7 linked regions of the Ovis aries genome follow. The main gene of each other region encodes a partner of the protein of the gene in region 5 in a complex. Links are inferred from orthologs where the notes say so. Each region holds a gene or a part of one and is shown on either strand. Other genes may lie near its edges. The genes, in order: NUMA1, MTNR1B, EDNRB, PTGDR2, GNAI1, GRM2 and HRH4.

Evidence for each region.
Region 1: GNAI1 (region 5) and NUMA1 share a complex: the UniProt entries of both Homo sapiens proteins name them as parts of the spindle orientation complex. The link is inferred for Ovis aries from reciprocal best matches to the Homo sapiens genes GNAI1 and NUMA1.
Region 2: the proteins of GNAI1 (region 5) and MTNR1B are in contact, whole or in part, in a cryo-EM structure (PDB 7VH0), measured with the Homo sapiens proteins. The link is inferred for Ovis aries from reciprocal best matches to the Homo sapiens genes GNAI1 and MTNR1B. Residues at the interface, in NP_002060.4 of Homo sapiens: Arg24, Arg32, Glu318, Ile319, Tyr320, Phe334, Asp337, Ala338, Asp341, Ile344, Lys345, Asn347, Leu348, Lys349, Asp350, Cys351, Gly352, Leu353, Phe354; in NP_005950.1 of Homo sapiens: Arg138, Tyr141, Ile142, His149, Arg150, Arg154, Ile223, Val227, Ala230, Arg231, Lys233, Ala234, Lys235, Thr252, Met253, Asn312, Asn314.
Region 3: the proteins of GNAI1 (region 5) and EDNRB are in contact, whole or in part, in a cryo-EM structure (PDB 8XWP), measured with the Homo sapiens proteins. The link is inferred for Ovis aries from reciprocal best matches to the Homo sapiens genes GNAI1 and EDNRB. Residues at the interface, in NP_002060.4 of Homo sapiens: Ala31, Arg32, Glu33, Lys192, Asp193, Leu194, Glu318, Tyr320, Phe336, Thr340, Asp341, Ile343, Ile344, Lys345, Asn346, Asn347, Leu348, Asp350, Cys351, Gly352, Leu353, Phe354; in NP_000106.1 of Homo sapiens: Asn134, Pro136, Ile140, Asp198, Arg199, Ala202, Val203, Trp206, Ser207, Arg208, Ile209, Lys210, Ile212, Met296, Met300, His314, Gln317, Arg318, Val321, Thr324, Val325, Leu386, Val389, Ser390, Lys391, Phe393.
Region 4: the proteins of GNAI1 (region 5) and PTGDR2 are in contact, whole or in part, in a cryo-EM structure (PDB 8XXV), measured with the Homo sapiens proteins. The link is inferred for Ovis aries from reciprocal best matches to the Homo sapiens genes GNAI1 and PTGDR2. Residues at the interface, in NP_002060.4 of Homo sapiens: Glu28, Ala31, Arg32, Glu33, Val34, Lys192, Asp193, Leu194, Glu318, Tyr320, Phe336, Asp337, Thr340, Asp341, Ile343, Ile344, Lys345, Asn347, Leu348, Lys349, Asp350, Cys351, Gly352, Leu353, Phe354; in NP_004769.2 of Homo sapiens: Arg129, Gln132, Val133, Pro136, Val137, Gln140, Asn141, His142, Arg143, Thr144, Val145, Leu233, Arg236, Arg238, Arg239, Pro241, Arg243, Phe244, Leu247, Thr307, Cys308, Pro309, Asp310.
Region 6: the proteins of GNAI1 (region 5) and GRM2 are in contact, whole or in part, in a cryo-EM structure (PDB 8JD5), measured with the Homo sapiens proteins. The link is inferred for Ovis aries from reciprocal best matches to the Homo sapiens genes GNAI1 and GRM2. Residues at the interface, in NP_002060.4 of Homo sapiens: Glu28, Ala31, Arg32, Glu33, Val34, Asp193, Leu194, Thr219, Asp337, Asp341, Ile343, Ile344, Lys345, Asn346, Asn347, Leu348, Asp350, Cys351, Gly352, Leu353, Phe354; in NP_000830.2 of Homo sapiens: Lys599, Ala600, Ser601, Gly602, Arg603, Arg656, Ile657, Ile660, Phe661, Ala664, Arg665, Glu666, Gly667, Ala668, Gln669, Arg670, Pro671, Ile674, Pro676, Phe756, Val826, His828, Arg829, Ala830, Pro831, Thr832.
Region 7: the proteins of GNAI1 (region 5) and HRH4 are in contact, whole or in part, in a cryo-EM structure (PDB 9LRE), measured with the Homo sapiens proteins. The link is inferred for Ovis aries from reciprocal best matches to the Homo sapiens genes GNAI1 and HRH4. Residues at the interface, in NP_002060.4 of Homo sapiens: Ala31, Arg32, Glu33, Lys192, Asp193, Leu194, Thr219, Glu308, Asn311, Lys314, Asp315, Lys317, Glu318, Ile319, Phe336, Thr340, Asp341, Ile343, Ile344, Lys345, Asn347, Leu348, Lys349, Asp350, Cys351, Gly352, Leu353, Phe354; in NP_067637.2 of Homo sapiens: Arg112, Ser115, Val116, Ala119, Val120, Arg123, Thr124, Gln125, His126, Ile197, Ser200, Leu201, Arg204, Asp205, Arg290, Val293, Glu294, Arg297, Arg300, Leu301, Ser304, Leu305, Leu308, Cys361, His362, Lys363, Arg364.

What each region holds. Positions count from the first base shown.
Region 1 is NC_056068.1:50,438,040-50,442,321, reverse strand, and holds the start of NUMA1 (nuclear mitotic apparatus protein 1), read left to right. Parts: upstream 1-1,482; 5' UTR 1,483-1,678; exon of another isoform or gene 1,679-4,282. UniProt on the Homo sapiens protein: Microtubule (MT)-binding protein that plays a role in the formation and maintenance of the spindle poles and the alignement and the segregation of chromosomes during mitotic cell division.
Region 2 is NC_056074.1:1,500,641-1,504,647, reverse strand, and holds the start of MTNR1B (melatonin receptor type 1B), read left to right. Parts: upstream 1-1,207; 5' UTR 1,208-1,721; coding exon 1,722-1,944; intron 1,945-4,007.
Region 3 is NC_056063.1:53,649,446-53,653,404, reverse strand, and holds the start of EDNRB (endothelin receptor type B), read left to right. Parts: upstream 1-1,159; 5' UTR 1,160-1,222; intron 1,223-2,044; exon of another isoform or gene 2,045-2,051; 5' UTR 2,052-2,103; coding exon 2,104-2,583; intron 2,584-3,959. UniProt on the Homo sapiens protein: Non-specific receptor for endothelin 1, 2, and 3. Mediates its action by association with G proteins that activate a phosphatidylinositol-calcium second messenger system.
Region 4 is NC_056074.1:34,560,082-34,564,041, forward strand, and holds the start of PTGDR2 (prostaglandin D2 receptor 2), read right to left. Parts: upstream 2,801-3,960; 5' UTR 2,725-2,800; coding exon 2,718-2,724; intron 1,653-2,717; exon of another isoform or gene 1,450-1,652; intron 1,061-1,449; exon of another isoform or gene 985-1,060; intron 389-984; exon of another isoform or gene 367-388; coding exon 1-366.
Region 5 is NC_056057.1:42,546,185-42,550,184, reverse strand, and holds the start of GNAI1 (guanine nucleotide-binding protein G(i) subunit alpha-1), read left to right. Parts: upstream 1-1,200; 5' UTR 1,201-1,505; coding exon 1,506-1,623; intron 1,624-4,000. UniProt on the Homo sapiens protein: Guanine nucleotide-binding proteins (G proteins) function as transducers downstream of G protein-coupled receptors (GPCRs) in numerous signaling cascades.
Region 6 is NC_056072.1:49,193,141-49,196,640, reverse strand, and holds part of GRM2 (metabotropic glutamate receptor 2), read left to right. Parts: intron 1-1,744; coding exon 1,745-2,582; intron 2,583-3,500. UniProt on the Homo sapiens protein: Dimeric G protein-coupled receptor which is activated by the excitatory neurotransmitter L-glutamate. Plays critical roles in modulating synaptic transmission and neuronal excitability.
Region 7 is NC_056076.1:32,579,282-32,581,645, forward strand, and holds the end of HRH4 (histamine H4 receptor), read right to left. Parts: intron 1,454-2,364; coding exon 653-1,453; 3' UTR 501-652; downstream 1-500. UniProt on the Homo sapiens protein: The H4 subclass of histamine receptors could mediate the histamine signals in peripheral tissues. Displays a significant level of constitutive activity (spontaneous activity in the absence of agonist).

The sequences.
Region 1 (4,282 bases), on a different chromosome or scaffold from region 5:
TAGGGTCAGTTAGGAGTCAACCCGAAGCTAGCTAATCATGGCAGGACCAGACACAGGTGTCGTGTTAGATTGTTTACTTCTTGTTTAGTTAAATCTGTTTAATTTCCATTGCCTTCAGTCTCTCTAGTTCCCTCTCCCCATTTAAACTTTCAAGGAAAGATTTGAAACTCATTCAGGGTGAAATGTCAATATCCCAATGTAGGCTATAAAAGGGTCTTTTGCCCCAGGGCAGTTAAACTACTTTGAATAAGTCCTTAAGCTAGAGAGGCTGTAGGCTCAAGCTTGGCTGACAGCAAACTGGGGTCTAGTCCTAGTTGTTACTGACTTGGTGTGTGGCCTCCGGCAAGTCACTACTCCTCTATAGGTTTCAGTTTTCCAATCTGTGATATGGGAATAAATATCCTTGGACTCACTAAGCTCAAAAAAAGACTTGGATGTGAAAACACTAGGTAAGTCGCTAAATATAAGAAACCTGTCATGAATACTGTTAAAAGGAATGAAGCTTTAACTGCAGAACTTGGAGAAGCAGACCACAGAGTAGTGTAGGGATAAAATATAATTTAAGGATAGAACCCCTAATAAATATGTGAGGGAAGATCCTGCTGACTCTCTGAAAAGGAGGCTCTACCCTGGGGTCTTCCTGCTTGGAAGGAAAGGGGCAGTTCAAGCCCCAGAAAGTTTCCTACATCTCCAGAATTAGGGACTGTGATTTACTCTAATCCTACTCCCAGGTTTTGAAGAGTTAGTCGACCAGAGGAAAACCAACTCCACGTTTGACGGCGTTTCAGATCTCCCAGGATATGTCAGGGATTTGAGACAGTAGTACTAGGGGAGGGATCCTATCTTTGTGACGGGGGAGGTTCTTAAGGCCCCCATATCTGTCTGGGTATATTTCTCAGAATTCCCTTCCCTCCCCTCGCCCATCTATCCCACAAGGGTTTGTGTCTTGTTGACTGTGAAAAGGAGTTAGCGGCAAAGGGGGTGGGGAGATCTCAGGTTCCCAAGAAAGAAAGCTCTTAACAGTGTGCCCCTCCCCTCTCATAGAGTTCTTGTACCCTAGAGCAGGCTTCCTGTTTTCCCGCCCAACTCACCCGCAGTTGCTTCCCCTCCAGCCTCCGAGTCCACTACCTCACGGTTACTCAGCGCAACTCCATGGTAACTATTTACGTCACCACGTCCCCTCTAAGAGCCGTAGGCGCTGCCGCGATGCCTACTGGGAACTTTAGTTCCTCAAGAGAAGCGCTCCAAAGCCGCGGGTGGTGCTGGGACTTGTAGTTGTCTTTGCACTCAGGCCGCCGGGCCAGGGTCCGGAAGTTGTGGCACCCTTTTCCCCTTTCCAGTGGCCCTCACACTTCCTTTCCCCGGGTCCTTCAGGCTGCTTCTGCGTGCGACGCCAGCCGACAGGGGCCAATCGCAGGGCGACGCGAGGGGGCGGGGCCATAGTTTAAACTAATTGTGCGCTCATAGCGCTGGCGCGGGCCCGAGAAGAAGGCGATCCTGGGGAAGTGAGAGTCGGAGCGGGAGCGCGCGGCCAGGTAATGGCGCGGGCCCGCTACTAGCGTGCGGCTGGGGCGCCTGCAGGGATGCCCGAGTCTAAAAGAGGTGCTGAAGAGGCGGGTGCGGGCGGAAGGCCTCCTTCATAGGCGAGGCTGACTGGGGAGAGTCTTTCGAGGGTAAGGTTTGTGAGGAAAGGGCCTTGTCCGAGAGGGAGGTGCGGGGCGTGCTTAGGGGGAGGGTCTGTTTGGGGGCGTGTCGGTGGAATTGTGTCGGGGGGCGAGGCGGGTGTGGGTAACGCAGGTTCCTGAAAGGCGTGTCGCCGAGGGTTCCTGTAGTGAGAAGTCTTCGCCTATTATTGTTAACAATAGTGGTAGTAGTAATAATAAACATTTTCTGAGGACCAGCTACGTTTCAGACACCGTGCCACACCCTTTATATGGATCATCTTTTTAATATTCCTAACAGCTTTTTTATAGTTTATTACAGATGGGCCGCCTGAGGTTTATGTTCAGCTTGGCCTCGGTTACATAGCTCGTGCTTGGTTGGCTATACTGGGTTTTTTTGTGGGTTGGGTCTAAGTGAAGGGGAGGGATTGTGTTGGCCGTGCGGGTCGTCTGCGGCGAGTCAGTTTCTTTTGAGTCTCACTTTTTTCATATATAAACAATGAATTTACCTGCCTTATCTACTTTCCTGCCGTTATGAGGGTCAAATCAGGTGAGCTGTTTCTTGCAAGCATCTTGGCGAGTACACATTTTTGAGTATAAGTGATGTGACTGCTGTGAATATATGGGAAGCTAGAGGGAATGTTCAGATCAGGTAAGGCAGCCTTCAGCCTGCAGGGTTGAATGTGTTCTCTCCCTTCTGATCCTGTGTGGTATTTTCTCCTTCAGAGGAAGAAGCGCATACTTCTTTGTGAAAGCTGCCAAAGTACTCTCTTCTTGGCCCAAGTTCAAGCAAATGATGACTAATTATAAAGCCTGAATCCTAAATCCATAGCCAAAAATTATACTCCCCCAAACTAGAAGATCTTAACCAAAAGCTCATATAAGGGACATTTCTATTTAGAATGTTCTTTTTTTTTAAATTTGTGGAATATGGAAGTGGAAAGAATGCCTTGAACTGAGACTCGAGTTCTAGAACTGTTAGGATGAGGGAAAGCCCTGCCACAGATGGCTAAACAGAGCTGATCAGGAAATGTTTTGGCAGCTTTGTCTAATTGATAAAACCCTACGGTCAGTAGGTATGTTGGAGGCCATTTATTTCAGCACAGTGTACATTAAACAGACTCAAAATGAGCATTTCCAAGAATGAGACCATCCCCAAATGTTAGAACAATTCTAATAAGTAGCATAGTTTTGTGCTTTCAGTGGTTATTTCATTTTACCCATATATGTTTACTGTTTTTTCCATCCTTTCTTGCATTTTATTCCTTCTTTTTCATCAAATAGAGGAATACATACTTCTGATTTTTTTTTTTTTTTGGACCATATTATGCAGCATGTCAGATCTTAGTTCTCCCACCAGGGATCAAACCCATGCTCCCTGCAATGGAAGTATGGTGCCCTAATTCTGGACTGCCACAGAATTCCCCCTTCAGATGTTCTCTTAGTGAGAGTCTGTTAATGGTAAATACTCTGTTGGAAAATATCTTTACTTCCTTATCAATCTTGATTGATAGTTTAGCTGGGTATACTAGGCTTCCAGTTGTTTTACCCCCAGCACTTTGAAAGTATCATTTTACTGAAATTATGGCTTTTTGTTGTTAACTCTTGAGAACTGTGTCCACAATATAACTATTATTTCGTTGTATGTAACCTGCCTTTTTCTCTGGTTGTTTTTAAGATCCTCTTTTTTTGTCATTTGTGTTTTGCACTTTCATTACATGTGTGGATTTAATTTTGTTCTACTTGGGCTTAGAGTGATGCCTCAATCTGGGGTTTCATACCTTTCAGTTTTCTAAAGATTCCCAGTCATTATCTCTTTATTTAAAAAAAATGTTGTTCCATCTGTCACCATACAAAGATGCTACATTAGAGACTCTTTTCCCCACAGTGTACGGTTCATAACCTGTGACTCACTTATTTTGTTACTGGCAGTTTGCACCTCTCAGTCTTCCTCACCTATTTTTTTAATCCCCTCATCCTGCTCCCTCAGCAGCCACCTGTTTTTTCTCTGTATCTGTGAGTCTTCCTGTTTTGTTAGGTTTTTTTATTTGATTTTTAGATTCCATGTGTAAGTGAAATTGTACAATATTTGTCTCTCTATGTCTAACTTATTTCACTCACCTAGTACATGTTATCACATGTACTCACCATCCATGTTGTCACAAATGGCAGTTTCATTCTGTTGTGTGGCAGAGTAATATTCCATTAGAGTATATGCCACACCTTCTTTATCCATTCATCTACCCATGTGCATTTAGGTTGCTTCTATATCTTGGCTGTTGTCAGTAATGCTGCAGTGAACATAGGGATGTTCATATATATCTTTTCCAATTAGTGTTTTCATTTTCTTTGGATATACACCCAGGAGTGGAATTGCTGGATCATATAATAGTTCTATTTTTAACTTTTTTAAGAACTTCCATACTATCTTCCATAGCGGCTGCACCAATATACATTCCCCTCAACAGTGCGTGAGGACAGTTTTGTTCTTCAGGATTGTTTTGGCTATTCAAGGTCTTTTGTGTTTCCATACAAATTTTAGAATTACAGTATTTGTCTTAGTTCTATGAAAAATTACCTTGGTATTTTGATAGAGATTGCATCAAATTTGTAGAATGCCT
Region 2 (4,007 bases), on a different chromosome or scaffold from region 5:
GGTCGTTTCCGTCTCCTGATACACCTGCTGCGTTTTCTTAAAGTTCCTGTTTTCTGCAATGACATTTCAGGCCTCCTGTCTTCGTCTCCCACACTCTTTCCCCCTGAATCCCAGCTAATGAGGTAGCCCGGAGCTCCCTGAGAAGATGGTAGCCAGAGAGGAACTCCCCCATCTCCTGCCGATTTAGAAACACATCCAAATTTGCACTGGCTTATGCTTCATTTCCCCTGTAGGGGGGAAAGCCTCTCTCTCCTAACAATGATCTGCCTTCCTTGGGCTCAGATGCGCTCACCTCTCAAGGCATTTATTGCTTTAACTATAATCTTCTCCTGCAACATCACACCGTTAGAGTTCCTCTCTCGGTTCTTTTGTTTCTGTTTTTTTTTGTGTGTGTGCAGAGTGGGAGAGTAAAATGTACATTAATAACACATACCAATAACATCCCAGAAATTTATTCCATGATCTGTTCCAGTCAATCTTCACCTCGCATTGGGCAACCACTGTTCTGATAACTATCACCATAGATGAATTTCCCTGTTTTTGGACATCATACAATCGGAATAATGAAGAATGTAGGCTTTTATATCTTGCTTCTTTTGCTCGACATAATACTGTTTAGATTAACCCATGTTGTTGTGTATCTGTAACTTTTACTGATGAGTCATATTGACAATTAACAATTGTTTTATCCATTCCTCTCTTGAGGGACCTTTGGGCTGTCTAGGCTACTATAACTAACCCTGCTCTGGACAATTCTTGCACAAATTTTTTTGTGCACATATGTTTCATCTTCATTTCACTGCAGGTCAAAAAGTGGAATATGTTTAATTGTATAAGAAACTACCAAATAGCAGTGACTGTACCATTTTTCATTCTCATCAAAGCAGGTCCTTTACTTCTTTGCCAAATAGATTATCAGCCATTTTGATTCTAGTGATGCAAAAAGTGGGTAAGACAGTACTTGGCATAAAATTACCCTGGAGAGGGACGAGCAATTGTTATTATAAGATTAAGTGCTCACACACTTTAAATAAAGGGCATCTGCGTTTCTTCTTTCCTATAACCATACTGCACTCCTCTTTGTGGTCTAATCCCTTCAAAAAACACCTTATAATAACCCCCACTATTGACCATGCATCTTTTTAAGTACTATTATGTTTAAAAAGATGTTCGTAAGTATTGTCGCGGTTTTATAAAGAGGACAGGGCTGAGGCATCGCCAAGACTTCTCAGGTAAACAGCAAATAAACAGCGCAGGGTCTTCCTTCTCCTGCTGCTGCCTGCCTGATCTCTCCGCGATGCCTGGAGGTATGTATTCGCTTTAGAGGGGCAGTGCCCTTCTGACAGCCAATCAGCAGGTCCTGACGAGCAGCACCTTTTCCAGTCCGAGAATCTGGGTGTCCCTGGACACCCAGCTTCTTGTGCGGCGCGCTCAGGCGCTGAGGCCGGAACCGGGCCAGGCACGTGCTGGGCTCCGGGCGGCGCGCCGTCGCACCTGCTCCTGGGCGAGCCAAGCGGAGACGCGCTTCTTTCAGCAGCGCCTGCACCCCAAATGCTCCTCTCCGTTTTTCTCCGCCCCCTGCCCACGCTTAATTAATCATCTCGTCCAGGTGCCTCGGCACTGGCCTCCTCGCTGGTGCGCGGGGCTGGGCGGGGAAAGGGGCGCCCCGCCTGCGGAGAGACTGGGTGCGCCCTGGCTGGCGCGGCGCCGGAGCGTCCGGGATGCCTGAGAACGGCTCCTTCGCCAACTGCTGCGAGGCGGGCGGCCGGGCCGAGAGCCCCCGCTGGACTGGCGCGGGCGGCGCGCGGCCCTCCGCGGCGCCCCGGCCTCCCTGGGTGGCTCCCGCGCTGTCCGCGGTGCTCGTCGTCACCACCGCCGTGGACATCGTGGGCAACCTCCTGGTCATCCTCTCGGTGCTGGGCAACCGCAAGCTCCGGAACGCAGGTGAGCGCTGCGCCCGCCGCCGCGTCGGCCGCTCCCGGGGGCCGCGTCTCTGGTCTAACACTCACCGCGCAGTCGGCCGCCCGGTCTGTCCTCCGCTCCCCGCGCCGCCTTCCCTTCTCTCAACAAGTCCCCCAGGTTTGGTCTTGAACCCAAACTTAGGTTGAGTTTGCTGCCTTTCCCCAACGTGTGGCTCTTGGAAACGCTCCGGGAAGCACTTGGCGCATCAGTGCGGGCGTAAATCGGATAAAGTTTTTTTCGCGCGCTTCTTGGCAGAGCAGGGAGCTGTGAAAATAGGAGCGTCTGAAAGTCAAAGCTGTCCAAGGCGCTCCAATTTTTGCAGATTTGGATGGTGCCCCTCCGTGGCCACAGGAATCTCGTCTTCAACACCTCCCTCCCCTGCCAAGCACAGTGGTTCACGCAGCACGTGCTTGGAAAATATTTACTGAGACAATGAGTAAATTAGTGGAAACGCTCTAGAGAGATTTGGTCCGATACTTAGCTCCTCATCTTGGTTCCAAACAAGATTGCAAAGGCAGCCGTCGGCAGCCTCTACTTGGTGGGAATTGCATTGTTTTCAAATAACCCCGTGTTTAATGAAGACAGGGAATTCGTAGGACTAAACGAAGATTAAAATAATAATTTGGCAAAATAGTGTTGCAATCCTATTTCTCCCTTTCGATACACTCGTTTCAACTTTCTCATGTGTAGGTGTGCCAGGGAACAAAACCAGAGGGAGGGAGTCTCTGAACTCTGACCCCGAGGGTCATCGGAGCATGCTGACCATCTAGCTTTTGGAGAAGCTCAGTGACCCGTTTGTCCATTTGTCGTTTCCCTGTTTGGGCCTTAGGGGCAACTCAAATGTTAGAGTGAATTAAAATGAAAAGATAGCAGAAAACCAATCAGATAACTTATTCATGCTTTTCTAAGGAGGCAGACCATTCAGAAAGGCTATTTCTAGTACATTGTTATAAACACTTTATGTGACCCAGTGACTCCCAAGCTTTTTTATCTAAAAGAACAAACAAAAATGTGGGCTTCTATCTGTAATATTGGAAACCACATTTGAAGTAATTGTATGGTGACAGATGGTAACTATTTATAGGGATCATTTTGAAATGTATAGAAGTATTGAATCCCTGTGTTGTGCCCTAGGAACTAACATATTGTTATAGGTTAGTTATACTTCAAAAACAAACTCAGAAAAAGAGGTCAGATTTGTAGAGCCAGAGGCAAGAGTTGAGGGCAGAGGAAACTGGATTAAGGCAATCTAAAGGCACAGACGACCACTTCTAAGATAAATAAGTAGTTGGGATGCGCATGGTAAATATAACTCTGCTGTATGTCACATGACAGTTGTTGAGAGTAAATCCTAAGAGTTCTCATCACAAGGACATTTTTTTTCTGTTTCTTTTTGCATCTGTTTGAGATGATGGATGTTCACTAAACTTATTGTGGTAATCTTTTCATGGTGTATGTAAATCAAATCATCTTGCTTTGCTCCTTAAATATACCGTGCTGGGTCTCAATTACATGTCAGTTAAACTGGAAGGAAAGGAAAAGTTAAACTTTCTAACTCAGTCATTTCAGTGGTGGTGACTTTTATTATCTGCAATAACTTTTTCAAGATATTGTTGTGTCCTTGGAATAGAGGCTTATCTTCTAGGAAAGAGCCGGTTAAAATCATTTTGATCATATTGTCTTTTGTAGCAGCCACAAGGATTCATTTCCTGCCCAGGGAAGCAGGGCTTCTCTCCCAGATTAACCAGGTGTTTAGAGGAGCCTTTGTGGGCTTCCTCCGTTGGGCGAGGTGGCTGGGGCCGGGTGCTGTTTCCTTTGCCTGAAGGAGGCAAGCTTCTTCTCCCCTCCTCCATCCGCAGGCAAGCTGGCCTCTTCTTCTCTCCTAGTGAAGTTCACAGAGACCTTATTGCTTTGAGAGTATGGCTGGGGTAGGTAATGAGCGTGTTAAAAACACTAGCACTCCCTGCGTTCATCCTCCCTGTGTCTTGGCGAATCTGCTACAGCCCAGCACCAGAAAAAAGAATTTAATACCATATCTGTGCGTG
Region 3 (3,959 bases), on a different chromosome or scaffold from region 5:
AATCAGTATACTAACACATATATATGGAATTTAGAAAGACGGTAATGATAACCCTGGATGTGAGAGAACAAAAGAGACACAGATATATAGAACAGTCTTTTGGACTCTGGGAGAGGGAGAGGGTGGGATGATTTGGGAGAATGGCATTGAAACATGCATAATATCATATAAGAAACAAATCGCCAGTCCAGGTTCAATACAGGATACAGGATGGTTGGGGCTGGTGCCCTGGGATGACCCAGAGGGATGGTACAGGGAGGGTGGTGGAAGGGGGGTTCAGGATGGGGAACACGTGTACACCCACGGCGGATTTATGTTGATGTATGGCAAAACCAATACAATATTGTAAAGTAATTAGCCTCCAAAAATCAAGGAAAGAAAAAGAAAACTCAAAACAACAACAACAACAACAACAACAAAATAAATAGTTTTTGTTTAAGCCAAGAGCACCAGACACCCCCAACTAATCGAAGTTTAGGTATCACCGTGGGACGTTTAACTTTTGGGGCAGGGGAGTCTTAGCAGACGTTGCGTGTGCCTATGCTCAGTCATTTCAGACTCTGGGCCACCCTATGGACTGTAGCCCGACAGGCTCCTCTGTCCATGGGCCTTCTCCAGGCAAGAATACTGGGGTGAGTTACCACATCCTCCTCCAGGGAATCTTCCCGACCCAGGGATGCAACCCTAGTCTCTTGTCTCCTGCATTGGCAGGTGGGTTCCTTACCACTAGCACCACCTAGGAAGCGGGCATTAAACACATTTAATTCAGAGCCAGGTTCTAGTCTCCAGCCTCGAGGGCCAGGAGTTGTGTCAAAACTTGGCCTTGGCCGAGGCTCGTCATCTGAAGCGCTTTGAGCCATGATACATCCGCAGCCTTTCAGGACGCATCTCTGTCCGAGGACTGCCCAGTATGGCAGCGGCCAGGTCCGACTGATGCTGTCCAGGCGTCGCCCCAGGGGAAAGGTTGCTGCGCGGTCGCTAGGGACGGAAGGAGTCTGGTGGTGATTGATGGGGAACGGACGAATGAATAAAAGTACTTGTCTTGGGACAGCAAGGATCCCGAGCAAACTGCAGAGGCTACACGGTCAGGCATTCCCTCGGCGTTTCGTCAGAGCCAGACCCTCCCGCTGCTGAAGGGAGGCGCGCTCTGCTCCCGGGCAGCCGGGAACCCAGCCGCGCGCCGGGGAAAGGAGGTCCCTGCCTGGCGCGTCCGGACCAAGAGGTAACCGTTCTGCTTGGTGTTTAAATCAAATCTGTGATTGAACCTTATCCTGGGGCTTCAGTTTGGATTACTTCTTAGTGTGTGTGTGTGTGTGTGTGTGTGTGTGTGTGTGTGTGTGTGTGTGTTTAAAACCTGTAGCTGCAACAGATTAAAATGGGATTGGAGTGAAGGAGGGCTTGAGCGTTTGAAGTCACTCGGAGGGGATAGAAACTTCCGAGTTAATGCAGATAGAGACTCTTCCAATCAGACCAAGTGGAGATGTCAGGGAGATTTTCTTAATCAGCCGGGGCAGTCCTGGGGTGTGTATGGGGGGTGGGAGCGGTGCCGAAGGAGACAGACCACAGGCAGCCGGGAAGGGAGGGGTCTGGGAGTCCAGACACGCGGCATCCGGGGTTGCTGGGGAGTCAAATGCAGAGACTGGCGATGCCCTTGATCGCTAGGTGCCTTGATTTCCCCTGTACCCGCGCGCCGTTGGCCGGAACGAATACTCCTCCCTCTGCGCACACCAGGAGCTCAAAGCTTTGCATTGGACACCCATCCTTTCCTCCCCGTCACACCCCTTCCAGGATACCCCGCCCCACTGCGAGTCATTTACCCCTCAGGGGACGCAGGGGAGGAAAAACCAGCGAAAGCTGGCTCTGGAGGGACCGTTTAGGGCGCAGGCGAGTCCCACGCGCCAGAGTTCCCCACTGCAGCGCCAGCTCGACTTATTAATACTTTCGCGCGCTGAGAGTGCGGGCGCTGCTGCGCTCCGGGACAGCTGCTTGCAGGGGCGTGGCTGGGGACGCTGACCCGGGTGTCCTGTCTTCCTTCCCTTGCTAGTCTCTAGACTCGGAAAGCTGAGGAGCGGCCACCCGACTCCCTCTGGAGCAGGCAGCAGCATGCAGCCGCTGCCCAGCTTGTGCGGACGCGCCCTGGTGGCGCTGATCCTTGCCTGCGGCGTGGCAGGGATCCAAGCAGAAGAGAGGGAATTCCCGCCAGCCGGGGCCACTCAGCCACTTCTGGGGACCAGAGAGATGATGGAGACCCCGACTGAGACCTCCTGGCCCGGGAGGTCCAACGCCAGCGAGCCGCGATCGTCCGCAACACCGCAAGTTCCTAGAGGGGGAAGGATGGTGGGAATCCCACCGCGCACCCCACCCCCGTGCGATGGACCCATAGAGATCAAGGAGACTTTCAAGTACATCAACACGGTGGTGTCCTGCCTAGTGTTCGTGCTGGGCATCATCGGAAACTCCACGCTGCTGAGAATCATTTACAAGAACAAGTGCATGCGAAACGGTCCAAATATCTTGATAGCCAGCCTGGCTCTCGGAGACCTGCTGCACATTATCATTGATATCCCCATCAATACCTACAAGGTAAGGGATGCCTGCCAGGATCGCGATGGGAGGGCGCACCCTCAGGACCAGGAAGATGGGAAAGTCTTTGCAGGGAGGCTCCTCAAGAAGAGCCATCCCCCCTCCCCGGCTCCCCCAACTCCACCCTCCGGCCCTACACCCCCGCTTCCCGCCCCCCCCCCCCCCCCGCCCCGCACTTCCAATAATCATTGGAACCAAACACCCTTCTGGTTTCAGTAGCCCCCTGCTAAGCCTAGAAAAAGCATAGTCCCCAGACCAGCAGCCTAAATATAACTTGGGAACTTGTTAGAAATGTATTTTAACAAACCCCCCAGGTAAAGTTTGAAAGGTACTGGTCTTGAAGGACCTTGTCCCTAAATTCAGCTCACAAAGGTATATTCGCTCTGCTCAGAGATTCATGGACCATGGACTGGCAGATTGTTATCACCTGAAAGCTTGTTAGAGCTCCATGTCTACCCCAGATTTATTAAATCAGAACCTGCATCTTACAATACCTATGTGATTCTTATGCATACTAACCTTGGGAAACGAATAGATTTTTAGAAAACGAATGACCTAAGGGAAAAAGTCCCAGATAGGTGAGTGGGAAAACACAGTTCATCTGCTGTGAATGACTGTATCCTATCTGGTTTTTCTTTACTGAATGCCTATGATGGGCCAAGCACCGGGATAAATGTGTTACTTTTCCTTCCTCCTTCTAACAACCTATGAGTAGATATGACTCCATTTTATGAATGATAGGATGCTCAAGGTCTCACAAGGAGTAAGTGATGGAGCTGAGGAAAATCAGGCCCAATCTGTCAGGTTCCAAAGTGCAAACTGCACCGAATCAATTACTTTGCGGACAAGACCAAGAACACCTAACGGCAGTCTGTCACAGTTTCAGTAGCTAACATCATTGTGTGATTACCACTGGCATCAGAGGAAATGGGCATGAAGAGCTAGGGCAGGACACAAACCTCCACATGATTTGACTCTCGCTTGCTTTGAAACTCTGAACATATCCTAACATCTCTGGACCTCAGTGTCCTTAACTCTACAGTAAGCTGCTGAGTGAAGTCGCTCAGTCGTGTCCACTCTTTGTGACCCCATGGACTGTAGCCTACAAGGCTCCTCTGTCCATGGAATTTTCCAGGCAAGAGTACTGGAGTGGGTTGCCATTTCCTTCTCCAGGGGATCTTCCCAACCCAGAGATCAAACCCAAGTCTCCTGCATTGCAGACAGACACTTTACCATCTGAGCCACCAGGGAACCCACCAACTGGAATTTTGTGGCATTGAGAAAACAGCCTAAGGGAAAGAGATGGAATATTTTAAAGGACTATGCAAATATGTAAAACTCTGCATCCCCATCGTAATCAGCAATAGAAAGTCACC
Region 4 (3,960 bases), on a different chromosome or scaffold from region 5:
AGCCGCTGGCAAACATGTTGAGGAAGAAGATGGAGGAGTGTAGCTTGCAGAAGGTGGTGCCCAGCTTCCAGGAGTGGCCCACGGCCAGGAAGTAGGTGAAGAAGGGCAGGGAGGCGGTAGCCAGCAGGTCGGACAGGGCCAGGTGCAGCACCCAGGTGGTGACCACGGTCTGTCGCATGCGGCGCCCTACCACGAAGAGAATGAGTCCGTTCTCCACCAGGCCCAGCAGCGAGGCCAGCCCGTGCAGCAGCACCGAAGCATGGTCCATGTAGCGGATGCTGGAATTGCTGTGGCTTTGGAGGCGGCTCATCTGCTCCAGGAGGGGACAGAGTGGCTTCGTCGTGACATTGGCCAACATGATGGGCTCTGCGGCAGAGAGGAAGAGGCGCTGTGGGGGGGAGGGGGGCAGTTCTGGGCAACAGGAGACCCTGGCCAGAATAGGGGACTGTGTCTAGGTTATAGGGTTGTTGGGAGAATTAAATGAATTAATAAATATACAAACATTTCAGGGGCTGCACTGGTGGCTCAGTGGTAAAGAACCCACCTACCATTGGGAGACATGGTTTCAGTCCCTGGGGTGGGAAGATTCCCTGGAGAAGGAAATGGCAACCCACTTCAGTATTCTTGCCTGGGAAATCCCATGCACAGAGGAGCCTGGTTCCTCCATGGGGTTGCAAAAGAGTTGGACACGACTTAGCGACTAAACTACAGCAACAACCATTATAGGCATTTCAAACAAGAGTAAGCACAAAGTAAGCACTATATCAATGGCATGATTAAGTAGATAGCCTAAGATCAATTGGAGAAATAGGTACCAAGGTCAGGCCAGGCGGGACTCCCTTTTCCCAATCCCTAGAGCACTGGGGCGTGAGTTAGGCTCCCCTAAAGGGCAGGAGGATTCAACTGGGCTGGGGGACGGGAAGGGAAGGAGTCTGTGCCTTTAAGGGGTGCCTTCCCTCCACCCACCCCCAGCACCCCCCAGACCTTGCCTCCCTGCCGATCTTCCTGCAGCCCTTCACTGCTACAGTGGTGGCTGGTTGGGTGTGTGGCTGCAAACAGTGGAAGCACCCCCCCCCCGCCCCCCGCCTTGATAGTTGAAGAGGAAATAAGATAAGAGCAGGGAGAGAGCTGGGCAGGAGGAACTACCAGATTTGGGCTCTGGAGGCCCAGTAGGGCCAAAAGACCTCTCCCCTGCCCAGGGGTGGCTACAGGCACTCTGCCAGTTCCAGGAAACCCAGCCTGATTCATTCATTTATTCACTCACTCACACACTCATTCAACAGCTCTTTATTGATCAACTACTTAGGTAAGTGCTGGAGAAGCCAGGCTCTGGCCAGATGTGCAGACATCCCCGAAGTGCAGACCCACAGCCTCATCAAGAATCCAGGACCACCCAAAGTGGAGCCAGTGGAGATCAGTGAGGGCAGAGAGGTTGGGGTGGGAGGCTACCTGCAGGAAGTCAGCAGGGTAGCAGGGGGCGGGAACTTGGATCGACCTGGGCCCCCACAACATGCTAGGAGCCATGGTAGGTCCTTTATGTAGGTGTTCTCCTGCTCACGGCTCTAGAAGAAAGGGGCTGGTACTTCTCTCCACCCCATTTTGCAGATGAGGAAACTGAGACTCAAGTGTTTCCATCACTTTCCCAAAATTTCCTGAATAACACAAGCAGGTGGAGAAACAAGAGTTTAGCACTCAATCTGTTCCCTTTCCTCTGCCTCTGAGCTCTAAGCATGAGGTGATGGAGGGAAAGAAGGAAAAGCAAGGCAGGGTCAGGGGGAGTGATCTTCACTATCCATCTTTCCACAGGAGACACTTTTGGCCAGGATGAGAAAATCTACACCCTTCTTTGGGGACCACGGTCCTTCATAGGATGAGGGCCCAGGATATCAAACTAGAATTTCCTTGACAGGTGAGGCACTTGGAGCTCGGGACCTGCAGGTATGGAGGAGGGAAGCTGTTGTCCCCGTGTGCTCCCTAGAACGCTAGAATTTCCCAAGTTCTAGAGTCTGCAGAGCAATTACACTCACAATGACCCTGTGCGACCCCATTTTTCAGAAGAGGAAACAGAGGTTCAGAGGAGCACAAGATCTTACCCAGTGTCCCTCAGCTGCTGGGGAAGGGGGGCTGCAGGAACTCCACTCTCAGCAAACACACACATGCCAGCCCCTCCCTGTGCTGAAACGTTCCCTTTAGCCCCATCTAAGTCCCCCGAGGATGCTGCGAAAGCATGTCCTGCTGTGCCCTGGGGTCTGAGCCAGAATGGACCTTCTGGCTGACAAGAGTCTGGCCCCCAGCCTCCCAGGATTCTCAGGAAGCCCAGCAGCAAGGGTCCTGTTTTGACAGAGGGCTGGGGGCAGAGAACACTAGGTTTTTGGTGTCAGAGACCTGGCTTTAAATCCCAGCTCCTTGACTTCCTGGCTGGGTGAATTTGGGGTCCATTACCATAGGACCCACTCTTGGAACCCTTCTACCCAGATGACTCCTGAGTCTTGAAAAAGAGCTTTAATGGTCTATCACTGTGACTGCTGTCTAGTAATTACCTAAGGAACTGTGGTCCTTCCCTCCTCAGAGCAGTAAGTCCCCTCCAGTCTTCGGTAAACCCTACTCTCTGCCATCCTAGCTAGTAACAGTCCTCTCCCCTGATAAAACTATGCCCTCTCTCCTAGGTCCAGAGAAGGCACTGAAGCTGCCCAGCCCCAGGGCCACCGTCTCCTTACCTGGCATAGAGAGCACACAGGATTCCAGCCCCAGTGGCAGTCAGCTCCTCGAGGCAGACAGGAGGCAGCGGGCAGGCAGAGAGAGGGGAGGGAGGCTGAGGGAGGAAATAGCTGTTAGCCCCAGAGTCAGTGCGTGTATATTTAGGGGAGGGGTGCGGGGGGGGGGGGGGGGGGGGACAGCTAGAGAGTGAGCTATTACACTGGTGTTCAAGTAACATCCATCTCCACTGATGGGGACTGGATGTAACTGCCAGCAGCCCAGCTCATCCTGTCTCTCTTTACAAAGGCGATTTTGCAAAAGCCCAGGGTCAAGTGTAAGTGCACATGGAAAAATAGGTGTAGGGCAGAAAGTGTGAGCCCATGTTCATTTTGAGAGTGGCAGGTGTTTAGGAGAAGTGCTTGAGGAGAAGGGTGTCCTGTCCATCTGTCCTATCCTGGACTGCCCTCCCTGGTGGGGTCCCCTGACCCCATCACCCTCAGGATAGAAACTCATGTGGCTCCTGCCTTGTGCGCAGGCAGCACAGGGGCCAGGGGTAGGGGTGGTCTGTGCAATGGCCCTGAGGGCTCTATGGCCAGGAAGGCAGGGTGGGGCTGTGGTAAGAGCGCGGGTCTGGCTGTCCAGGCTGCCCGCAGTCCTAGCCGGGAGGTAAGCCACTTCCCCTTCCTGCCCCTGCTTGTCCATCTGTGACCAAGAGCGACAGTGTCACCTCCAAGGCTGACCAGGCGCCCTCATTCACAACGGACCCAGCACACAGTAGGTGCTCATAAAAATCAGGTTTCTTCCCTCTGGGAGAAAAATGGGTATAGACTGTTGGGCAAGGGCAATACAGCTTTTATTTCAAATGGACTGGGAATTCCCTACTGGTCCAGTTCTCACTGCCAAGGGCCCAGATTTAATCCCTGGTCAGGAAACTAAAAACCCCACAAGCCATGCGGGGGAGGCCAAAATAATAATAAAAAGGTCTGGGCTCGGACCCCATGGATGAAATGATTGATCTCCTTTTGCTAACCAAGCTTCCTGAGGTCAGGACTCTTCCTCCAACCTCAGCATCTAGCACCCAGGAAATACCCAAAACACATTAAGAACTCGGAAACCCACCCCCCGCTACAGGATTGACTCTAAAACACTTCCATTTTTGGTACAGGCTTAATGTAGGGCCTGGCACTTGATAAATTTGCTGAGAGACTGCAGTTCCTGAGTGAGGAATGTGATGGGGAAGCTTGCTCACTCTCGTCCAAGATG
Region 5 (4,000 bases):
TTTTAAACAAAGTTTTTATTTTTATTTTTAGAAAATAAGACTTATAAATGGTTGCTCTTTGGTTTCTGTTAGAGCAATTACCTAATATAACACATCAAAGAAGACGTTTTTCTTTGCTACCAACCCAGTCTTATAATCAACCAACATTTCCTGTGATATCTGTAAGGAAAAGTGCAACTGACAGAGACCAGATCTTAAGCCTATGCTCATTGATGACACGCTGGGTGAGATGCCTCCAACGCCCACAGAAGTGATTTCTCCCAGACCAGGTAAAGCTGGAAGGATGGAGGCTAGTGTGGATCAGTTCCATCTCATTTTATGGTTCAGGAAGCCAAAGCCTGCAATAAAGAATGACATGCCCAGTGGCTTCTGATTTACTAACATGGTCATGAATATTGGTGCAGAACTTGGCTTGGAAGCTTCTATGTCGCCCCAGAGGAGGTCAGTTACGGTGAGGAGGGGTTTTGTTTGTGTGGGTGTGTTGGCTCTTATTTTAAAAATATACTCTTTGATTCTTTGTCTCATATTTTCTCAGGTTTGAGGAAATCCTTCAAAATGTTTTCTGCCTGTGGAAAGGAACGTGAAAATGGATGGTAGGAGGGAGGAGAGAAGGAAAAAAAAAAAAAGGAAGAAAGTTGACCTCTTGTCCTCCCGGGACTTTCTGTTCCCCACTTCACCTGCTCGGCTTTCTCCATGGCTCCATTCCCAAACCAGCTCGCTCTATCTCCCACCGCCATGAAGGCCCGCTAACACGGGTTTGCATTTTGAAAACCCTCGCGCGCCCGCCCGAGCTGGGCATGCTCAAACGCCCAGGACTGGTTTTTTTTCGGTTTCCAACTTTGGCAGCTCTCCCACCCGCACCCCAAGGGGCAGGTCCGCACACATCCCTGGGTGTGAGTAAATGGGAAGAAATTATCACACTCTCGAGGAGGAAGCCAGGTAGAGGAATTCCCCGAGAGGTTTGGGGCTCCTTGGCCGCTTCCCAGGGGCGCTTCCCACGGGCGCGCGCGGGTGGCCGGCCCTCGCGGGCTGTGCGGCGCCAGGGTCCGCGGCAGCGCGGGTGCGCGCGCCCATCCGAGGGGGCGAGGTCCGAGGGCTCGTGCGCGGGCGCGCGCTCTGGGAGTGGTCGCGGGGCGGCGGGCGGGGCGGCAGGGGCGGGGACGCGGCGGCGCGCGGACGCCTCGGCGAGCTGGGCTTCTTAGAGGCTGCAGCGCGGCCACCAGTAGGAGGCCGCTGGCAGCTGCTCCGAGAGCCTAGGAACCTGGTCTTAGGGGGCGCCTAGGGAGGCGAGGAGTAGAGCCTGACTGTAGAAAAGAGCTGCGCGGTGCTGCTCGCCCTTCGGCAGAGAGCGCTGCCCTCGCTCAGTTTCGGAAGGAGGTAGGGGTGGCGTGGCCGGCGTCAGGAGGAATTCGAACGCCTGCATCCAGAAAGAAAGAATTCACCTGTGTTTCGAGGCAGCGCGCCGGACTTGGAGGGAGCGGCAGCCAGCTTTCGCTCCTGGCACAATGGGCTGTACGCTGAGCGCCGAGGACAAGGCAGCGGTGGAGCGGAGTAAGATGATCGACCGGAACCTCCGGGAGGATGGCGAGAAGGCGGCGCGCGAGGTCAAGCTGCTGCTGCTCGGTAAGGGCGGCCGGGCCGGGTTGGGCGCCTGGTGGGCCTGGAACCCGGGGTTCGGGCGGCAGAGCCGGGCGCGGCTGTGCTGGGCTCTTTGGCGTTGGGAAACCCGGAGGGGACGTGCCAAAGCGGCGGAGGGCGCATCGTGTAGCGTCCGAGGATGGTTTCGGAGCGCGAGCTTGTGCCGCGCAGAGCTGAGGCGGGGGCCCCTCTCCTCGGTCTTCTTCTCTTTGCTCCCTTGGCCGCGGAGAACTCGCCGGTGGCGCGGCAAGACTTCACTCGCGTGCCTGGTGTGAAATTTCACCAGGAGCCCAGGAGCGGTTCGCAAGGAAGCCCCCTTCTTTTAAGTTAGCTCAGCTTTATCAAAATGAAAGGGCATTGGCGAAAAAGAAAGAAGAGCACCCCCCGCACTAAAACCCTGCGTACAAGGCATCGTATCGCGGTTGTGGTTTCCTCGAGGATGTCAAGAGTGCCACGTTTTGTGAAATCAGTGCACCTTTTGTGGGGCCTCCCTAGGGTTGAATTGTGTCTTTCTGGTGAACTTCCTATGGCGACTCAGTAAGTGTTAAAGGAGCACTGATTACATTTACCTTGCGTAGGGGAAGTAGGCTATGCTGGATTTTTAAAAATAACTGTGGGGATATGAGAACCACCAAAGTTGGGTAACTGGCTTCAGTAAAACCGATGTGAAAGGTGTGAATGGGTCACACGGGACAACAGGATTCTCCTCTGCTGCCAGGGCTTCTGATGAATGAGATTTGCCAGGTCGACGCAAGGCTTTTATTTGTTCTTAGTATTGTTCTGGTGGTAAAACGCTCTGCGGAGGTCTTTTCCAGCTGTTTGAAGGAAGGGAACGTGAAAAGAGTAATCCAGGATTTTGATTGAGGGATACATTTGGAAAATATTCACAGTTTAAGATTTTTGATGTGTGAGTTAGGATTTTCTTTTGTTTGCCCCGCCCCCCCACCCCCCGCAAACACACCACACCACCCTACCTATAGGTAGCAAAGTAGGTGAAAGATTTCTCAGAATCTTTGTTTGCACTGCAGCGACTGCTTTTGTTTTTGTAACAGTTATAATAAAATAAATACTATTGCACAAGCCTATTTTCAGTAAGCTTCTGTTTCATTGGTTTAATGAGTGCAGGAAAAATGGTGGGTTTTTTTCTCCATTACTAGTAGGCTTAGAAGCTGCAAACTTGGCATGACTAAAAGTAATAATGATCTGAGTCATTCTACAAGTAAACTGTGAAATAACTTTGCATTTTAGAGACCTGGTGGTTTTTCCACACCTCCCCCTACCCAAAGTAAATCTTTCTCAGTTTATACTGTTTACCTAAGTTTTTACATTAATAAGAAATAGTCTTTTGAGGAAGGCAATATATTTTTAGTATCTTGAACACAGAAGGGACATACCTTGGTATGGGAACATATAGGTGCTCCTCTTTCAAATGGAATGTGCTTCAGACAAAAATGGAGAAAGGATTGAAAAGTTCTCTTCAGCAGTTTGTGCACTCCTGCTCTGATGTATTATTTCAGTGTATTGTGTGACGCTCATTTTGAGCCAGCTATCCACCATGTTTGTTTAAAGCCTTGAAAAATGAGTCCTCTGGTATGGTAATATGCTTTACATAGATGTCTATTAGAAATAGACAAGGATAAGGGTCCAAGGAGTTGGTGTTTGCTTATATTCAGAAGAGATCAGTATTTCTCAAACTTAGCACTACTGGCATTTTGGATGGAATATCTCTTTGTTGTGAAAGCTGTGTTGTGCCTTATAGGAAGCTTAGCAGAATCTTTGGCCTCCAACTAATGTCTCAAACATGCCCTAGGGGCAAGTTTAATCTCAGCTGAGACTAGCTCTTCTAGACTGAAAAATATATACTGAATATGTAGGGTAGAACCTGAGTTTGGATCTCTACCATGAACTGTAGTGAGAACTCTGAGGGAGGTGTAGCAGAGCTACGATTTTCAGAAGAAATTAAGGAGTTTTGTTTCTCCATACCAAGTACATTAGAAGGCTTTCAAAATGACTTAAAATCTTTAGGTAGCTGATTTTTTTCAGCTCTCTTTTTTAGCTTTAGTCTTGTGCTGTTCCCACACCTTTTCTCTGTAGAAGTCCCATCATAGCATCATATTATTGGCCCAGTGAATTAGGCCTTACAAAACAGAGGACCTCCTCGTCTGTCTTACTCCCATCCTACCCTCTACCCTTTTGCCCAGAGTTCCAACATTCTAGTTCCTTTAAACAGAATGTTGGCTTATTCTTGGAATGTTTGAAAAAATATTTCTTTTTCCTAGTTTGACTTTAGCAGTGAAGTGTTGACCTTTGGTTCTTTGGGGGATTTTTTTTTTTAGTTCTTAGTGTGTAAAGAGCTCAATTA
Region 6 (3,500 bases), on a different chromosome or scaffold from region 5:
GGATGTGTGTGCAAGTGAGGAGGAGGGCACCCCAGGATCTGCAGTAAGTGCAGGATGACCAGGTGAGGGGGAGGGACCCAGGCCCTCCCTCCTGTTCTTCCCACAAGGGGTCAGCAGAAGGCACAACTGATGGCCTTTGGCGCACCTGGCTGCTGCGGCCCAGGGGGATCCTCCTTGTCCTTGACTGGGTTCCACCTCTTGCCTGGACCCTTACCTGTCTAGTGCCAGCCTAGGCTGCTGGAAGATGAGGCCAGAGCTGAGATTGGTGTTGGGAGTCGCAAGGAGGGCCTCGTCTAGGGGCCTCAGCTGCCTCGAGGATGCCAGCAGAGGACATTGCCATCAGAAGCCAGGCCGGGACCCCTGACCCAGAATGCTTATTTAGGAGAGAGGAAGCAGGAGTCTGAACCAGGGAGGCAGCTTCTGGCCTGGGGTGGGGAGGGAGGCCTGCTCATACCCCTAATGCAGGGAATGAATTACCGGTTCTGCTGGGCCTGCTGCTGGATGTAGCCAGTGGTAGCTTGGACAGGCGTGGCTGCACCAGCACCTCCATCTGTAGTCTGAGCTAGGGGCAGGGATGGGGAGGCAGCCTCCCACTGCTGATGTCTTCAGGGGCCTCTGGGGTGCTTTCCCAGCACCCCCTGTGCACAATTCTTTTCAGGGCCCCTTGTATTTACCTCCAGGAGCCCAGTTACCTCTGCCTCACCCCAAGCTGCCTGACTCCCGCAGCAGGACCCACAGCTCAGCGTCCATCTGCTTTTTCCTTGTCTGGGTCAAAACAAGGCTCAGTCCTTTATCCTGCAGCTGCACCTCTCTGCAATGGTTCGTCCACATTACTAGCCCTTCTCTCTCGCCGAAATCCCTATCATCTTCCAGGCACTGTGGCTTCATGTACATCAATATTCTTAATCAGCTCAGCAACCTTGGAAGGCAGGAATGAGAAACTGAGGTTCAGGGAATTTCCTAACTTGCCCAGGGGCGCAGAGTCAGACAGTAGAGGGAAGGCGCTGACACTGCCCGAGTAAATGTCTATGTCCCAGCTGCAAACACAGGACCTGACTCCCTCTTGTGGAACCTGGGCCATGCCCTGCTCTCACCCACCATGCCACCAGGTTCTTGGCTGGACCTCACTCTTAGGGGCACATCCCAGGGATCTGGGGGTGAGAGACTGGCTGCCAGGTAGGCAGGAAGCCTTGTTAATTTCTGGCTCAGGCATCCAATAGAGACCCACTCTTGGGCTCTCAAATCTTAGTCTTCCTTCTTTGGGGAGCCTTTTCCTTCTCTTTCCATCATCCCATCAGCATTGACTCTGGGATAGAGAGCTTAAGACCCCTAAGCATCCCAGAGGCCATCCAGTGCCTCCTCCCTGTGCAGCCAACGGATAACCTATCTCCACTCAGGACTTAGGTTTTTCCTTAGCTCTCTCCTTTTGCTACAGCTGTGCATCTGAAGGGAGACAGGGGAGGGGTTCAAGTGTGGCTCAGGACCACGGTGCCTTGGCCCTACGTCTTTCTGAGCCCTTAGGAAGGGACAGAAAACTTGCTGCCCCCAGGGGGAAGACACATCAAAACAATGTAGGTCTTTGGAGAGAGGGAGACATCATGACATCATGACATAGATGACCACATGGGCACTTGATCCCAAAGTCTGATAGCTGGGTTGAGGGGCACAGCCGTCTCTAGCATTTGACTTTGTCTCTATCTTTGCCCTCTCAACCACTCCCCCCACCCCGCCCACCCCACTGCAGGTGGCCAACCTCCTGCGGCTATTTCAGATCCCTCAGATCAGCTATGCCTCCACCAGTGCCAAGCTGAGTGATAAGTCCCGCTATGACTACTTTGCCCGCACGGTGCCCCCCGACTTCTTCCAAGCCAAAGCCATGGCTGAGATTCTCCGCTTCTTCAACTGGACCTACGTATCCACCGTGGCATCCGAGGGTGACTATGGCGAGACAGGCATCGAAGCCTTTGAGCTAGAGGCCCGCGCCCGCAACATCTGCGTCGCCACCTCGGAGAAGGTGGGCCGCGCCATGAGCCGCGCGGCCTTCGAGGGCGTGGTGCGAGCCCTGCTGCAGAAGCCCAGTGCCCGTGTGGCTGTCCTGTTCACCCGCTCCGAGGACGCCCGCGAGCTCCTTGCTGCCAGCCAGCGCCTCAATGCCAGCTTCACCTGGGTTGCCAGCGATGGCTGGGGGGCCCTGGAGAGCGTGGTGGCAGGCAGTGAGGGTGCTGCTGAAGGCGCCATCACCATAGAGCTGGCTTCCTACCCCATCAGTGACTTTGCCTCCTACTTCCAGAGCCTGGACCCATGGAACAACAGCCGGAACCCCTGGTTCCGTGAATTTTGGGAGCAGAGGTTCCACTGCAGCTTCCGGCAGCAAGACTGTGCGGCTCACTCCCTGCGGGCCGTGCCCTTTGAGCAAGAGTCCAAGATCATGTTTGTGGTCAATGCTGTGTACGCCATGGCCCACGCCCTGCACAACATGCATCGTGCCCTCTGCCCCAACACCACCCGCCTCTGTGATGCAATGCGGCCCGTCAACGGGCGCCGCCTCTACAAAGACTTCGTGCTCAACGTCAAGTTTGATGGTAATGGTGCCGGCCAGGTCCACCAGGCTGCTGGCTCTCGGAGGGTGAAAGGGAGCAGGCCCTCAGGTTCTAGCACATGGCTAGGAAAATACAGCCCACCGCAAGTCAGGGACTTACCCAAAGGGCTGGTGTCAGAGTTGGGACAAGGCCAGCCAGGCAGGGAGGACTCCAACAGGATCCAGACCTGAGGTGCCACTTCCTGAGATTCTTCCAGAGAGTAGACACCTGGCCTGGCTCTGCACTGTGAGGGTCTCTGCTTCCTGCTTGGGCCTTGCCTTCTATCTCCTGCCTCTTTATCATGCAGGGAGTAGGATCAGGAGACCTCAAGCCCATTGTCAGGCAGCAGGATATCAGAGAGCGTGAGAATAAAGGTACATCAGGATGACCCTCTATTTTCCAGGAAAATTTCTATTCCTAATCTTGCTTTTCCACTCGAGGTGGCCATGGTCTCTTCAAACCAAAAGTTACCTTAATAAAAGTTCCAGCTTCAAGAAAAATAAATGCCACAGGGTCATCACTGTGCTTCAGAAAGAATGACTGCAGGAACAGCGAGAGAGGGTGCCAGGGCTGACAAAGCTTGGAGCTCTGGATCAGGATCAAGAAGAGTAGCAATTCCTATAAGATTGACATTCAGAGTTATGGGAGAGTCAGGCTGGGGGTTAGTGTTGCATTTGGGTCTGATTGGGTTGACATTAGAACAAGGCTAAATTTAGCCCTCTGGGCTAAGTGGAATTTATAGTAGGGCTCATGTTGGATTTTGAGGACTTCAAGGACTGGGTAGAAAGAGTAGAGGCCGTGGGGGACCTGCATTTGACTCCAGGCTGCACCATTCACCATGGGATCTTAAGCATATCATCTGCTAACTTGAACGCCATTAGTCACTGGGACCTGGAATGATGGGGTCCCTGCCTTCTCAGC
Region 7 (2,364 bases), on a different chromosome or scaffold from region 5:
TTCATTGAGAACCTTCAAGAGCTGCAGTGACCTCCTCTTTCCCCCATCATCCCACACTTTCTTCTTTTCTCGGATCAGGAATGCAGAGTCTGGAAGTATACATGCCCTCTGCTCTTTCATCTGAGCATCCTCACCTCCTCACCCTCACTCAAACCCTAATTCTCCTGCCCAGTGACCATAACAGCGTTACCCACCCCCAGGAAAAAGGGCTAAAGAGCTCGTTTTCCTTTTGTATGCTTTAGAGAATGATCTTAAAACGTGATGAGTTTTCATCACTGTAAAATGAAAATGGAAATTCACTTAAGACTGTGGCAACACTGAACATCTAGAAAGAAAACCAAAATTTTTGAATTTCACAATCAAAGTTATCTTAAGATCTAAAAGACAAAGAAGAGGTGATGACTAAGAAAAATATAGTGCTTTTGTGGCTCTGAGTTTACAGAAATATTCTTGTCAGTTTCTAATAATGTTGTTATTCACCAGAATAATTTTCCACTGACTTATAGGTTCCAGGGGTTTTTTATTTGTTTGTTCAGTGTTTCAAGTGTTACATTTTTATGGACTTTTTCAGTAGAGTGGAAAGGGCACAATGAAAGCCAGACTCATTTAAGTGAGAGCAAGACTGAAATTTACATAAGCAAAACGATTATCTTCAAGAAGATGTTGACCGATTATGTGATAGTATGGACTGCTTTTTCACCCGAAATAATTTCAAGAAGGCCTTCTGAAAACTCTTGTGACACAAGGGATACAAAAAAGGATTGACAAAGGAATTGAACCACTGAAGCCAAAATGTGAACTCGTACACAGCGTTTGAGAGATCTGAGTGTGTGCCATGACATGAACGAATAATTGTGAACAGAGAGTAGGGAGCCCAGCAAACAGCAAAAACACCCAAGAGAATGGCCAGTGACTTGGCTAGTTTCTTGCCTCTGCGCAGCTCAAGATGTTCCCTTTGGTGAAGAGCTAGGGAATCTGAATGGGAGAGAGAGCTCGTTTTGGAAGCGGTTAAACTATTCATCTGGGGTCTTAAGGAAGACAAGAGGCTGCTCTTTCTTCCTGACTTCTCAGAACGAAGGGATGCTGCTGATTCCTCCAGGTTGGAAAGAGATGGCCTCGAAAACAGTCCATTCCTGAATGAGCGTCCACTGCTACTGGAAGGGGCAGAAATGAATCCAGAAAGCCCCCTACTGAGATGACTGCGCTTCCATAGGCTCCAGTAAATATACATGTTGAAATAAGCCACTAGCAAGACTGGGATCACGAATTCGAAGAGTAACGTGAGGGCAAGGATATGCCATTTTTCAAGGAATTCAGGTTTGCAATCCGCCCCCAATTCCTTCCTAGTCTCTGAAACTAGTATTGGCCCATGCACTAAGAAGGCCGCCACCCAGACGGCCACCATCAGAGTCACAGTCTTCAAGGTCCCAGTATGTTGAGCTCTGTAAGACACCTAAAAGAAACCAAATAAATTATTTTTAATACAATGAGCACATGTTGATTGCACAAAGCATACCGTCAGCCCTCTGGAGTTTCCGTGATGTGCACAGTGGAGCTGGTCACTGAATCTGGGTAATGTGATTGGGCCGGGGCAGAGGGTTTGGTTTTGGTGAACCCTGGGCCTAGATGTAGGCTTTCTTACAGTTTAAGGTTAAACATCTGACACTACGGAAAATGTCAAGGTTAATATCTAAAAGAAGAACACAATTTTTCCTAGTCCACAGACACTAATCTGAACTGTTAACTGAAACTTGAGTGAACACGTTCACAGTGCTTTTAACCTGCCAGCTGGGTCGTGAGCAGCATTTTTAACAAATTGGGATAATCAATGTCAGAATGCCTCACACATCATAAGGCTATGTATTGTTTGATGAAACTCTTGCTTTGGGAAAACATTAATAGATATACATAAGAGAGAGAGAAATGTGCATACCAAATCACAGTGTAAAATGCATTTATCACTGAAATCACAGTAAAAAAAGTTTGAAAGACAGAACCTATCCTGCAGTTTATGCTGAGCCTTCCAGGTGGGGTCAAAAAGGACAGAACTCTTACATTCCTCCCACAAGATGATGCACAAAAAGAAAGAGAGTTAAATCAGCTGTAGGAAGAGACTACAGTGTTACGAGCAAAACCTAGCATTTATTTCTACAAACGTATCCACCCAGCAAAAATGGTACTGAAGCAATGGTGGCCAGCCACTTGGGGAGATGTGGCTGTGGTGAGTGCCACGGTCTTTTTTAGGAGTGAAGAATACTCTAAGCCCACTTGAGCACAGGGACAGGCTTCTATCAGGAAAGATGAGATTCTGTGGGGGAGGATTGCTCTCAGATCCCAGGACCTTTGATAGATTCTAAAATCTTA